2 separate regions of the Mus musculus genome follow, and region 2 is reported to be linked to region 1. Evidence: microRNA targets listed by miRTarBase, many of them from high-throughput screens and not tested one by one. Region 1 holds a microRNA gene; the other region holds the end of a gene's coding sequence.
The links. Region 1 holds the annotated microRNA mmu-miR-339-5p (UCCCUGUCCUCCAGGAGCUCACG, at 2,518-2,540, shown strand). A microRNA usually pairs through its seed, bases 2 to 8, with sites in the 3' UTR of a target mRNA and lowers its output. Matches are read on the target gene's strand: a 7mer-m8 pairs with bases 2 to 8, a 7mer-A1 pairs with bases 2 to 7 and ends in A, and an 8mer does both.

Region 2: the mRNA of Mfsd11 is a reported target of mmu-miR-339-5p. Seed matches in the 3' UTR shown: 7mer-m8 at 4,634-4,640.

Annotation. Positions count from the first base shown.
Region 1 is chr5:139,365,128-139,372,247 of GRCm38, reverse strand. It overlaps Mir339 (microRNA 339), which reads left to right and starts at 2,503; the gene lies at 2,503-2,598. All of the region lies in intron 2 of 3110082I17Rik (RIKEN cDNA 3110082I17 gene), which reads left to right.
Region 2 is chr11:116,872,774-116,879,893 of GRCm38, reverse strand. It overlaps Mfsd11 (major facilitator superfamily domain containing 11), which reads right to left. Exons shown (of 13, transcript NM_178620.4): 12 at 6,515-6,650; 13 at 4,234-6,113. The coding sequence ends at 5,949. Among named protein-coding and RNA genes, the nearest start is that of Mfsd11, 22 kb to the right of the region's middle.

The DNA of each region.
Region 1 (7,120 bases):
CTGGTTCCGCCCCAGTCCCGACTCGCTGCTGTGAAGCGTCCTGGGTCTCGGCAGTTCGCGCCAACAACTCCCCGCTGCCTACGAGCGAGGTCAGTGCGTGGCCAGGCGCGGGCGGCGCCAGGTGACCCCGAGGCATCGGTGGTGGCCTCGCTCTGTAGCCACGCGAGGTCGTCCAGGTGTCCCTTCGCACCGCTGCCTGCCTTCCCACCCCTGAGCCCATAGCCTGGGCCCCGCTCATAGTCTTATTAGACTTTGAGTCTTAGGCTTTGAGACCGCTTGCCAGGTTAACATGCCAGGTTAACTTGCCAGGTTAACATGGACACCCAGGAGGACCCTCCTGGGTGTCCGCGGTGTGTGCAGAGCCCTGACCCAAAAAACTGCTTGTGAACAGTGGGAGGGGCATAACAACAAACTTTATGGCACTTAATGAAGTCCCTGTGTAATGTTGATTTCATTCTTGCCTGCTCCACTAGCCTGGGTTTTTGTGTTTTGTTTTGTTTTTTTCCACCTCCCAAGAGGCAGACTTTGTTGCAGGCCTTCTCAATTGCTCCCAGGTCAGCCTTCCTGCAGGAACTCCTTAAAGTCTGTGGGGAAGGTGGTATAGTTAGGGTCTGGAGGTGAGAACTTGGCAGGCTGTGCTCACAGGCTGACACTCGCAGGAGAAATAGGATCGCAGGCTGCTCAGCTAATGTGGAAGCCTGGTGGCTGATAGTCTTTGACAGTACATAATTGTTTGTTTGGTTTTTTTTTTTTCCCTGGGAGACCCCATTTTCTGCCCAGTTGTAGCTGCTTGCACCCGCACCTTGGATGACTCCCACACTTTGCTTAGTGGGCTTTTCAAGCTTTAGAAATCCGCTCTGCATTATAATAGCAAGATCAGCACAAAAAGTAGGAACTATAGAGGATCCTGCGAGTGTTGTTTGTGCCCCAGTGTTTGTTCTGGTCATCTCTGCCCTCGTTGGCTCAGAGCTGTCTTCACATTTCTGCTGTTTTAAAAAAAGGGGGGTGGGGAGTTTTGGATTGCTAGGGAGTCACTTACCCAGGTGAGCAGAGACATCTGACCTTGCTTGCAGGGTGGTTGCTGGGCCCGTTGTAGCAGGAGAAATGGCCTTTCCTTGGCCACAGCAAGAAAGCTTCCATGACCTTAATGTCACTTGGGGGTCCACTAGGCAGTTTGGGATGTGTGAACACAGCTGCTCTACCAGAGGAAGCCAAAATCAAAAGCATTTTGATTACCGGCACACTCAAATAGAATTGGGAGTGGGGCACGTGGAAACCAGGCTAGAACAAGCATCCCTGGGTGGTGGGCATGCCGGGAAGCTCTAGAGAAGGGGATGTGGGTACCTGGCCCTGGCTAGAAAGAAGGCCTCCAGCTAGGGCGAAGGAGGCAGACTGCAGCTGAAATGAGACTGAGTCTCGCTCGGCTCAGGGACGCAGCGCAGGCTCTGCACAGTACACAGGTTCTTGTGTCAGCAGGCTTTTCCTGGCCTGGGAATGCTCAGTTATAGATGCAAGCCCCTCCCTCTCCTTCACTTCAGGGTCTCCTACTGCAGGGGTCTGATTAGAGACCTCCCCATCTCCCCCGCTGCAGGGCCCTCTTCCCTGCCTGTTGGCTGCTTTCTGCCATTTCTGAGTAGACCTAGGTGGGAGCTTGTTGTGTGTGTCGCCCTCACGCCCGTGATTCAGGTGGCAGGGGCTGACTCTGTCCTTGCTCTTGGACCAGGAGCTTCACTGATGGCCGAGTTGGGCTTCCCACTTAAACTTGTGCCAGAGCTGCTGGGACCAGTTCCTGTGATCTGCAGGCAAAGGGACGGAAGTTTTATCTTCTGGAGCCAGCCCCTCAGCCTAGTCAAGGAAATCTGCACCCTGTTCAAGCTCCTGGGGTCTGTCTGCTCCTGTGTTGGAACTGGGGACATGTGAGATAGCAGTGGGAGAGGTTAGACCTAGAAAACCCATGGGACCTTCATAACCTTGTTGGTGGGGCCAGTCAGCCTGAGTCAGGTGAGCTGAGGCCAGAGAGCCAAGAAAACCGATGTATAGTCGGGGACTCACAGCCTAGAGGCCTTGTGGTCTGTGCTGGAGTCTGTGAGAAAGTTAATTCTCTGGGCAGCCTGAGGTCAAGACTTAGGCTTTAGCCTGTGTTTAACCCCCAAGTAAGTGACACAGGGTGTTTCTGCCGTGACTGCAGAAGGACCTGTGGCCTGGACAGAGCCTGGGCTTGGTGGCGGTGACAACATCACCTCTGGGGATTCGTGTGTCCTGTGGCAGCTGGTGATGGCCCAGTCTCCTGTTTCTCAGGGATACATCAGATCTGCTGCTCACTTCCGCCATTCAGGTCACTGAGGAGGCAGGGTGCCGCATCTGTCATCTTTGTCTTTTTCAAGCATGGGGCTTAAGTGACATTTTGTGCATTTGAAAAGTCATATCTAGAAGGGGATCCCTAGGTGGGTGTGACCCTTGCCTTGGCACCAAGGTGGTGAGAGCACAGCTGTGCAGAGCTGGACGGGGTGGCCACTATCCCTGTCCTCCAGGAGCTCACGTATGCCTGCCTGTGAGCGCCTCGGCGACAGAGCCGGTGTCCACCCCTGCACTGTCCACAGACCCTTGCCTGCAGACCAGGGTGCTCAGTCGCTGGCTGTTCATGCTGTACCTTCTTGAACTCGATTGTGCAGATCTGCAGGTTGTTCCGTGGATGGAGGGGACTCTGGTTTCTCTGTGCGGTGACGCAAGGCACTGACCCCTCTGGGGTCCTAATCATCTTAACCTACGCAGACACTGAGGGGGAGGGGAGAGGAGCCAGGAGGGAGCCTTCCAGGTCTCTCCCTCTGTGTGTGTCCTCTGTAGCACCAGTTGATTCTACTGCGTGTGACCTATGTCCTGGCAGTTGGTGTCCCTGGGTCACTTCTACATCCACTGTGTTTCAGTAATTACCTCCAAATAAAAAGCTTCCTTTAAAACAAACTCTCTCCCCTCTCTTCATTATGTTGTTGTGCTTTTGCTTTGTCTTCTGGAAATCTTGCTACCGAGTGAGTGCATAGCCGGGCAGCAGTCTGCTGAGGTCTGTGAACCGGAATGGGCTCTCAAGGTCGAACACCTCTGTGGGACCCTGGACTCGGGCTGGCTCCAACTGAATGGAGGAGGGCTGATTCTGGGCTGGGGAATGAGAACAGAGTCCACTGGCCTTGGCACCCAGCTCGTCAGCCTCAGCAGGCTTCGTGGTCTCCCCCCACAAACATCGCTGTCACTTGTAGGCCATTCCCAATGTCTGGGGAACAGGTATAGGGGTGGTAGGGACCAGAGACCATGCCCCAGCCTTGGAGGCACCACCTGGGTATGTGATAGACAGGCCAGGTGCTGGGCTCCATCGACCATCTGCTGTGCCCTTGGGACTCTGTCCTGTGTGAAGCGGGTCAAATGACTGGATTCCCTGCCACTCAGCTGCGCCCCCAGTACAGCTGCTCTGGTCACATGATGGGGTGGGGACAACAGAGGGTCCTTCTACCCTCACCTGTGTTCATCCTTACACCTGACTCAGTCATTCCAAGAAAGAAGGTCCTACAGAGCTGTGTGTCTGGCACTGGCTACCAGGGCCTCTACTGCCAAGGTCTACAACTAACCTTTGAGGGGTTTTTGTTTATGTTTGAGACAGACTTGCTAAGCTCAAGCTAGCCTTGGACTTTCAATCCTCAGGACATATTCACCAACCTCCTCCACAATTCCAAGAACGTTTGAACAAGATGTTTTTGAGCCCAGTGGATGCTCAAAAACGCTGGGCATTGACTGCCTCCCCAGGACAGCACAAATCCCTATTAAGAGAATATCCCCAGTCATACTGCCCCAGCACAGGTGATGCCCTGGCCAGGGCCAGCAGCTCCTTCTAGCTGTGTGGAGAAGGAGAACATCTCTCTGCCCTGTGAACTTCATTGGGGAAGGACAGTGGGCCCTTGCCCTTCCTCCTACACAGAAGGCCTCTTTTACCCCCATGGGACCCAAGGGAGGGGCAGTGGTGGGGTGCTTGAAGCTGCGGTTTGCTGCAGCACCCACCTTTGTGTGCCTCCTCAGCGCCTGAGGCTTCAAAAACAGTAAGGTTCAACCAGGGCTTCCTGATTAAACCTGGGGAACAAACAAGAGAAGCAGGCCCACGCAGTTGCCCTGGTTCAAGGTTGGTCCTGGGTTTACACACAGCCTGGTGAGGGCAAGGGAGAAAGTGCCGCCTGGAGTCTTTGAGCTGGCAGAAAACACCCACTCACCAGGATGCCCCTGCTTACAGATGGTAGAGTTAAGCCTCCTCACCAGCAACAGGCACAAGCAGGCCAGACTCCCCTTACCAGTGTGGCTCAGAATGCCTGGCCAGGACTCTTCTCAACATCCAGAACTCAGGGAGCCTGAGGCAAGATTGCCCCTAAGGGGACGCTAGCTAGCCTGGGCTTTATAATTCCAGGTCAGCTTACCAGCTAACCTACACACACACACACACACACAGGCTGTGCCCTGTCATGGACACCAGGCAGTCTTGAATTTAGCTACCAAGGCTGTTGGGAGATGGTCCAGTTTTCTTCTCAATCTCCAGAGTCACCCAGCAAGCCTTGCCTGTTAGCATGGGACAGAGGCTGCCTGCTCCGCCAGCCCTGGATCAGTGCAAACCATGAGTGGTGATGGAGATGTGGGTGGAGGAACCCTCAGGGTGTGCCATTTGGGAGACTGCTGATGCTGCACTGGCCCCAAAGTGTCAGCCTTCCTTGGCTTTGGTAGGGACAGCAAAGAGCTGAGCCCACCATCCATACAAGGACCCTCCGTGGGTGCAGCATTCGCTCAGGCCAGTGTGCATGTTTTATATGCATGCCTGAATGAGCATTACATATGTACCCAGAGTTCAGAAGAGGACTTTGGGCCCTCTGGAGCTACAATTACAAATGATTGAGAGCTACCATGTGGGTGCTGAGAACCAAACCCAGGTCCTCTGTAAGAGCAACAAGTGCTCTAACCCACCGAGCCATCTCCACCCAGCATGTGTGTGCCACACCCTACCTCTCTTTTAAAAAAGAGCTGGAAAAGAGGGCAGCTCTAATCCCGGGACTCCAGAGGCTACAGAGACAGGAGAAGTGCCAGCCTGGGCCACGTACCAAGTTCCTCTTTGAAAACCAGGGGGCTGGAAAGATGGGGGTCTCAGTTTAGAGCACTTGTCCCTCTTCCAGAGGATCCAGTCTCAACACCAGTACCCATGTGACCAAACCATCCCGTTCTCCAATAACTCCAGTTTCAGGGGACCTGACACCCACTTCTGACATCAGAGGGTACCAGGCACACACATGCGTGTACATATATGTGGGCAGAACATCTATGCACATAAGTAAATATTTTAAAAAGTAACAACAACAACGACAAAAAAGAAACAGGAGGTGGAGAGACGGCTGTCAGTCCAGCGCTTGCCCGACAAGCAGGAGGACCGGGGTCAGATCCCATGAGAGCCCCCTGAAAGCTGACTGTGGCGGTGTGTGTTTGGAATCCCACCGCCAATACGCGGTACTAGGATGGGCAAGTGTTCCACGTTGCCTGGGTTATGCAATGCTGGGGCTAGAAGCCAGTGTCTGCATGCTAGGCAAACACTGTACCAACTGAGCCCCAGCCCCAGCTCCCATTGCCTAACTTTGATGTGTCCTTTCTCTCTCTGTCAAATCCCAAACGACAGAGTGATGGCACTGGGATGTGGTTTCTTCAGTGGCTACAGATAGAGACCTCCCTCTACAGTCTCCACAAGGGCCAGCATGATCCCCCTCAGAGATCCAGTGGAAAGGCAGTGTTAGGTTTTGGGGCGGGAGGCATTTCGGGGGAACACTGTGATCGGTCACTGTAGAGCAGTGGTTTTCAGCCTGCCTTCCTGATGCTGCAGTGCTTTGATACATGTTGTGGTGACCCCACCTCCAGAAAATTAATTTGATTAATACTTCCTCACTGTAGTTTTGCTACTATCAAGAACTGTAATGTGACTAGCGGGCGGGGGGTGGCGGGGCGGTCCCATTGGTTGGGGGTTTGTGACCCACAGGTTGAGAACCGCTGCTGGATTAAAAGAGTTGCTGACATGAGCAAGCAGGCAAAGGCTTGGTGGATCCTCCAAGAGTTCAAACCCAGTGCCAGAGACAGCATGGTGGGGTCTCTGAAGAGAGAAGTCAGAGCCCATTTAGCAGAAGTGGGGATCTATTCTTGTAGTTTCTGAAGATGGGGGAAGTTGCATAACAGAGTCTGCCATGTGGCTCATTCCCAGCAGGGGCAGGGGCAGGGACTCAGTTCCCCATGTGAGAGATCCCAGCACCTGGGATTGCATACTGACCTGACCAGGGCCTCATGCACTCAGTCAGCCTGCCTCCCTCTCTCTCTCTCTCCCTCTCCCCCTCCCTCCCCCCCTCTCCCTCCCTCCCCCTCCCTCCCTTTCTCCCTCCCTTTTTCCCTCCCCCTCCCCCTCCCCCTCCCTCTCCCCCCTCCCTCCCTCCCTCCCTCCTTCTCTCCCTCCCCCCCCCCCCCAGAGTTGGGTTCCTGCAGTATCTGTGCTAGCCTCAACAGAGACTGAATTCCACGATTATGATCTTGGTGGCACCTTGTCTCTCTTGTACCAACTCGATCCAGGAACCATGGCTCTCCTTCCTGGAGGACACACAGGCTGCAGAGCCCCCGGAGACTTCAGCCAGTCCTCAGAGCTTGTAGTGTGTGTGATAGGCCTCTCAGCAGGTGTCTGCAGACAGCATCTTTAGACCCTAAGACCAGGATCCTGGCCTGGGGTTGCTGAGGTCATGTCTTATAGACAGTGGGAGGCTAATACCCCCCTCCCCAGATCATCATCTCACTACTCCACTGCCTGTCTTCTCCTTTGATGGACCTTGGCCCTGGTGGCTCTGTGCATCCCCACCCCATGTGGTTGTGGGGTCAGAGGCAGGCCTGCCAGCCCCGGGGGTGGGGGTGGGGTGGTGTAGGGTGGCTGTCTGCTTTTTTTTCCCATTGCTGCAGTTTATACAAACACTCAGCCACACAGCCTCTGGGACTTGGCCAGAGCTAGTCGGAGCTGGTAGCCAGGGCAACCAGACTCCCCTTCTATCCCTGGGCCTAAGTTAACCCCCCAAACTCCTTT
Region 2 (7,120 bases), not on the chromosome of region 1:
CCCAGCACTCCGGAGGCAGAGGCAGGCAGATTTCTGAGTTCAAGGTCAGCCTGGTCTACAAAGTGAGTTCCAGGACAGCCAGGGCTACACAGAGAAACCCTGTCTGGAAAAACCAAAAAAACCCAAATAATAATAATTTATTTTATGTACGTGGATACACTGTTGCTGTCTTCAGACACAGACACCAGAAGAGGGCATCAGATCCCATTACAGATGGTTGTGAGCCACCATGTGGTTGCTGGGATTTAAACTCAGGACCTCTGGAAGAGCAGTCAGTGCTCTTAACCTTTGAGTTATCCTGACAGTCCCAAAACACTATTTCTTCCTTCCTTTCTTTCTTCCTTCCTTCCTTCCTTCCTTTCTTTCTTTCTTTCTTTCTTTCTTTCTTTCTTTCTTTCTTTCTTTCTTTCTTTCTTTCTTTCTTTCTTTCTTTGTATGGAACAAAGTTTATTTGGGGACATGGGAAGGGGAGTTGAGAAGGGAGTAGAGGCAGAGAAAGAGAGGGGACAGAGCACAGAGAGAGAGGGAGGGGGTGGGGAAGAGGCGGGACAGGAACATGTGGAGAGGGGGGGAGGAGGAAGAGGAGAGAGGAAGAAAAGGGTCCGAGAGGAAAAAAGAGTCAGAGTCAGAGAGCCAAAACACTATTTCTAAGAGAGATGTTTCAATATTTCTTGTTTTATTTTGTTTTGGAGACAGGTCTCTCTGTGTAGCCCTGGCTATTCTGGAACTCACTCTGTAGACCAGGCTGGCCTTAAACCCAGGTATCTTCCTACCTCTGCCTCCTGAGCGCTGGGATTAAAGGGGATATCCATCATTAAAGGCTGAGGCCTTTTTAAAATACACCAGTGGACACATGAGGTGTGTGGGTTAATGCAAATCCAAGAAATCTCCCTTCCAGGCTTCAGGAGCTATTAAGCTCTGGTTAGTACAGGTTTCCGTACATACCACAGGATTTACTTGATGGTCACGGTCACAACAACATTGACTGACATCCAGAGGAGGGTAAAAAAAAAAAAAAAAAAGGTTGTTAAGAGGGCTAAAGGTGGCTCAAGATAATTAGGCTCTGTACCTGCAACATTCCAACTCCACACGATGACAAAGATTCTCATTGGTTGATCAGTCATGTTCAATGCCAGCCCCAGCAGCTGAGAGCAGCTCCCGGTGCCTGGTCTGGGAGCGCCAACAATAAGTTTATGTGAAACACACACCTGCCTTCCTTCTGGGAATCTGGCAGGTGGCCAGGAGGCAGGCCAAGGCTGTGTGTGTCATCAGAAGCCAGTGAACCCCTGCCATAGAAGGTCTGGCCCGGTGTCCATTCCTTGCAGGCGCGCAATGAAGGTAGCCGTGGAAGTGTGACCCCCGTGTGGCCCTGAAGTGGAGACCCAAATAGATGGACCCACTCATAGCACCTCTAGACTCTGGGTCCTGGTCCCTGCAATGGACATGGATACTTGACACTGGAATATTAGCCTTAGCCGTGAGCATGACCACATGCATTCACAGAGTCACATACATCTTCCCATCAGATGTCCCTTGTCAGGAATGGTCCTTGGGTCTCCTGGGACACAAGCTACTATAGAGTGCTATCCTTGGTCCCAGCAGCTGTGATACCCAAAAGCTGGGTTTATTGAATGTTGACACTCTCACATAGGAGAGGGTGAGAAGGGTGGCTGGACCCTGGCTTGCTCCCTGTTCCTTCTAGACAGCTACACGCACCTCCTCTCTGATCGCACGGGGTCTCACGGATTTGGGAGCAGCTTCAGTGTATGCATGGAAGGGTTACCGAAGGGGGCTCCATCTGTCACAAGGGGAGACGTTTGGGTGGAGCAGTTCCCTTTGAGCTGGCCCTCACCCCTGCTCTGTAACTAAATCCGGTAGGTTCTCTGGCTTTCCAAACCAGGTTTCTTTAACCTAGTCTGCTGTGGTGCCCTATGTGGAATGAGGAGGCACGCAGAGGTCAGAGGGCAACTTTCAGGAGTCAGTTCTCTCCCTCCACCATGTGACTTCCAGGGACTAAACTCAGGTCATCAAGCTTGGTAGCCAGTGCCTTTACATGCCTGAGTCCTGTTGCCAGCCTCCTGTGTTTCTAACACACACACACACACACACACACACACACACACACACACACACACACACTTTTTATGAGTATGGTCCTATATGTATGTCTATGCACCATGTGCATGCCTGGTGCCTTTCCAGGCCAGAAGAGGGTGTCAGATCCCCTGGATTTGGGTTATAGATGATTGTAAGATGCCAAGCGAGTGCTAGAAATGGAATCTGGGTCTTCTGGAAGAATAGTCAATGCTCTTAACTGCCAAGCCATTTCTCTAGCTCCACCACCACCACCACCACCACCATCACCATCATCATCATCATCATCATCATCACCTCCACCACCATCACCACCCCACCACCCGCCTCTCTCTCTCTCTCTCTCTCTCTCACACACACACACACACACACATACACACACACACACACACACACACACACACACACATTATATAATCTCAGCAGGCCTGAATCAATCCTTTTGTCTCAGCTAAAGAACTAAGGGCAACAACAGGGTCAACCAGCTGCTGGGGTTATCTCAGCTTCAAGAAAGCCAGCCAGACCTCAGCCTGGCATGGCGGTGCAAGCCTGTAATCCAGCATTTTGGAAACAGAAGCAGGTGGACCAGGGTTCAAGGTCAAATTCAACTACATAACAAATCTGAAGCTAGTTTTGCCTACCTGAAACCCTGCCTTACAAAACAAACCTTACAACCAGGGAGGACGCCATCGTTCCACACAGGGGACTTCTATAAGGACTGCGGCTGACAGCAGGGCTTTGCGGATTCCTACCCTACCATCAAATACTCAAAAATGCCAGGCATGGTGGTGCGTGTCTGTAATCCCAGCATTCAGAAGGTGGACAGGAGGAGGAGGAATGTGAGGTCAGTCTATGCTACATAGTGAGATGGAGGAGAGCCTAGGCTATACAATAGCCTATCTCAAGAACTGAAGCACGGAGCTAGAGAGAAGGCTCATGGGTTAAGGGTGTGCACTGCTCTTCCAGATGTGAGTGTGGTCAGTTCTTAGCACCCACACTGGGTGGCTCACAGCCACTCTAGCTCCAGGGGATCCCATGCCTCTGCCTTCTGACACTGACACAAGCATACACACCTAATCAATAATAAGAATAAATCTCACCTGCCCCCCACCCCCAAATCATCCAACCAACTACACAATTTCTAGATTCATGGCATGTTTCAGAGTCACAGGTCTGGGTGTGATGGCTATGCCTTTAATTCCAGCACTCAAGAGGGAAGGCAGATCTCTGTGAGTTCAAGACCAGTTTGGTTTAGGCTACTCTGAAGGGGAGTGGGGAGGTTGTAAAGGGGAGGGGAAAGGAGAGAGAGAGAGAGAGAGAGAGAGAGAGAGAGAGAGAGAGAGAGAAACACAAACCCAAACAAACTCCAAAAAACCAACAACCCCAAAGTGATGGAAAACAAGATATGTTTCTCTGAGCTGGACTCACTGTACTGTGGACAGATAAATGTCACGTTTAAAGGGAAGGCTCTGTTCTATGGAATATCCAGCAGGTCCAGACATAGGAAGGTTGTTAGTGCCTGCCACATCTGAGACGGGCTGAGGGCTGAGACAATGCAAGACAGTTCTGCAGTCCTGGGGCTGCAGAGCGGGCTGAGGATTGAGAGCACTTGGGGTTTGTCCTGGCTTGAATGAGAAAGGTCCCCACTGGCTCACACAGCTGAATGCTCCTCCCCCTCCCCCAGTTGGAGGAACTGTTTGGGAAGGATTGGGAGAAGTGTCACTGGAAGTGGGCTGGAGGGGTGGCTCCATGATTAAGAGCAGCAGCTGCTCTCCCAGAGGTTCTGAGTTCAATTTCTAGCATCCACACAGAGGCTCACAACCATCTGTAATGGCAGACCCATGGGAAGTTCTCTTCTGGTGTACATATATGCACACATATATCTATATACATAAGTTACATAAAGACAATTCTCTAAAGCAGAAAGCCATTCCCAGTTAGTTCTCTGCTACCTGCTTGTGGATAAAATGTGAGCTCTTGGCTACTGCTCTAGCCCCAGGCCTGTCCCGCTGTCATGCTTGCCACAATGATGGTCACAGACTTACCCTCTGGAACTTTTAAGTGCCAATAAACCCTTAAGCAAGTTCCCTTGGCTGGGCATTGGTAGTGCACACCTTTTTTTTTTTTTGACTGTGTATCTTTTTTTTTTTTTTTTTTTTTTTTTAAAGATTTATTTATTGATTATATGTAAGTACACTGTAGCTGTCTTCAGACACTCTAGAAGAGGGAGTCAGATCTTGTTGGGGATGGTTGTGAGCCACCATGTGGTTGCTGGGATTTGAACTCTGGACCTTCGGAAGAGCAGTCGGGTGCTCTTACCCACTGAGCCATCTCGCCAGCCCTTGACTGTGTATCTTAATGTAATTTTTCCAAGCAGGCACCAGACTTTTAATACAGAAGAAAAACAAGAAAGCTAGGCGAATACATCCGTCAAGGTACATCGACACAAAACAAAGAAATAGTGGACACTTTAATCCCAGCACTCAACCAGATTCTCCAGCCTCGTGAGTTCAAGGACAGCCAGTGCTACACAGAGAAACCCTGTCTCGAAACAAGTTGCCTTGGTATCTCTTCACAAGAGGAAAGTAACTAAGACACCAGAGAACGCACCCCATATCAGTGGTCTTTAACTGCCTGTAAATGCAGTTCGCAGGGATCCAATCTCCATCTGACTTCTCTGAGTTCTGTAGGCAGAATGTATATACAGACAAGCCACAGGCAAACACATACACTAATAAATAAAATAAAAAAGAATTTAAAAATAAAATATTGTCATTAGATATGGTGGCAGTTATACAACCTTATGCACACACACCACACATACACACTAAGTTGGTGAATTTTAGCCAGAGGTTGTTTGTGGCTTGGAAGAGCACAAGTTGGAGGCCAAGCTGCAGTACATACATGTTAGACCTGATCTAGATGCTTAATTAATTTAATATCTCAATCGTAAGAGTGTCAGTCCTTGTGGGAGACAGTCTGCAGTGCTTACGCACTTTCCCACAGAGGATGGCCGGAGTTTTCTTTATTGTAACGGTCAGGACAACCACAGCATGAGTCCTCCCCCTCCCAGTAAATACTCTTTCCTTCTCTAAATATGCTTTTATTAGTTGACAAATGACACAGTCTTTACCTCATTACACATAACCAGCCCCTTGCTGGGAGTGACAAGGTAAGACTTGTTCAACAAAGCATTTTAGGAGAAGTTGAAGTCTCAGCGGTGTGTGGTAGCATATTCTCACCACCCAGGCATTCTGGAGACAAAGGCAGGAGCATTGCCTGGTATACAAAGTCCAGGCCAGCCAAGGCTGCATATCAAGACCCTAACTCTTAGGATTGGAGCGTTTTAAATCCAGTGTTGGGCAATAACCCCAACACTGGAGGCAGGGGAGGGCTGCAAGTCCAAGACCAGCCTGGGCTACGCAGTGAGATCCTGTCTCAAAACAACGTGTCTCAGCATCCTTGCTGTGTTTCAGAAAGTCATTCCCAGACCCACACATGGAGTGGCATCTGCTTCCTATTTCGAAAGAGTGAGGCATACTCCACAGCCAGCAAGGATCTCGTGACACATGGCGAGCCAGGCTGGATCGTTCCTCGAGAATGAGGATGGAGGAGCCCTGATTGTGAGGAACTGAGGGAGGGGGTGGACGAACATCTCAGAACAGCTGTAACGGATAGAGCGGGATTCCCTTCCTCCGCTAGCGTGTGCCGCTAGGATATGTAAACTTTACTACCAACCCCGCCCGATTTCACAGTCTCCGTTCTCGCTTTAGCGATTATGAGACTGACAGGCCGTCGGATTTAACCAGCTGCCATGTGACCAGCTGTGTTTCTTGGAGACACTTGTTTTCTCATCAAATGCTTCGGTAGTCCGAGCCTCGGGCCACGATGGCAGCAGCGTCCCACTCCACAGCGAAGAAAGAAATGGTTCCAAAAAACCCAAATATCACCATGACCAGGAGCTGCCAGTGGAGGAGGAGGTAGTTGCTGTAGAAAAAGGCCACGGCTGCGCAGATTGACTAGAAGAAACAAGATAAATCACCAAGTGGATGCTGGGGCCTCAGATGCTCCACAGTCAGCCCAAAGGACATCTGCAACTGGCAGTGCCCGTGAAGACAGACTTCACTGGTCCCCAGCTCACAAATGCACCCCAACTTGCCTGACAGCAATAATCCAGTAAGCTGTGGCACTATAATAGTACAATAAAGTGATGAGAAGTCTGAGACTCTCTGGAGAGATGGGGCTGGTACCTAAGGAAGTATTCACTCAAGTGCAGAGACCAGAATTAAAGCCTCTCACCTAAGCAAGCCCACTGTGCCTGGTTCTCCTCACCCCCCTTTACAGGACACCCAGCATTCATTTAAACCCCCAGTGACCGAGGACAACGGGAAGGAAACCGACTGCAGCACAACCCAGTTACCTGAACAAACTTAAAGACCGCGAAGGCCGGCGCGCTGTCTTCCGAGTAGAGAAAACCCAGAATGCTAAGCAGCTGGGTGTTGAAGCAGCTGTCTCCCAGACCCAGCAGAAAACTGCAGAGAATGGCAACTTCTTTGCTGAAGGAAAACAAAAAAGCAAAAAACACATAAGACTGGGAAGATGGCTCAGTGGTCAGACAGAAGCATGCGCTGATTCTGGGAAGGACCTGAGTTTGGTTCCCAGAACCCATGACTCCAGCATCAGAGGACCCAATGCTCTTCTTTGAACTCCACAGGCACCACCTGAACTCAAATATGCCCCCCCCCACATATATGAGTAATTTAAATAAAAATAGCTGGGGGTGGTGGGTACATGCTTTTAATCCCAGCATTCCAAAGGTAGAACCAGATGGACCTCTGTCAGCTCAAGGCCATCCTGGTCTTAGGGAGTTCTAGGACGGCCAGGACTCTGTAGAAAGACCGGTCTCAATGCATACATGCATACATACATACATACATACACCGGTCTCATACATACATACACACATACATACATACATGCATACATACATACATACATACACCAGTCTCAATGCATACATACATGC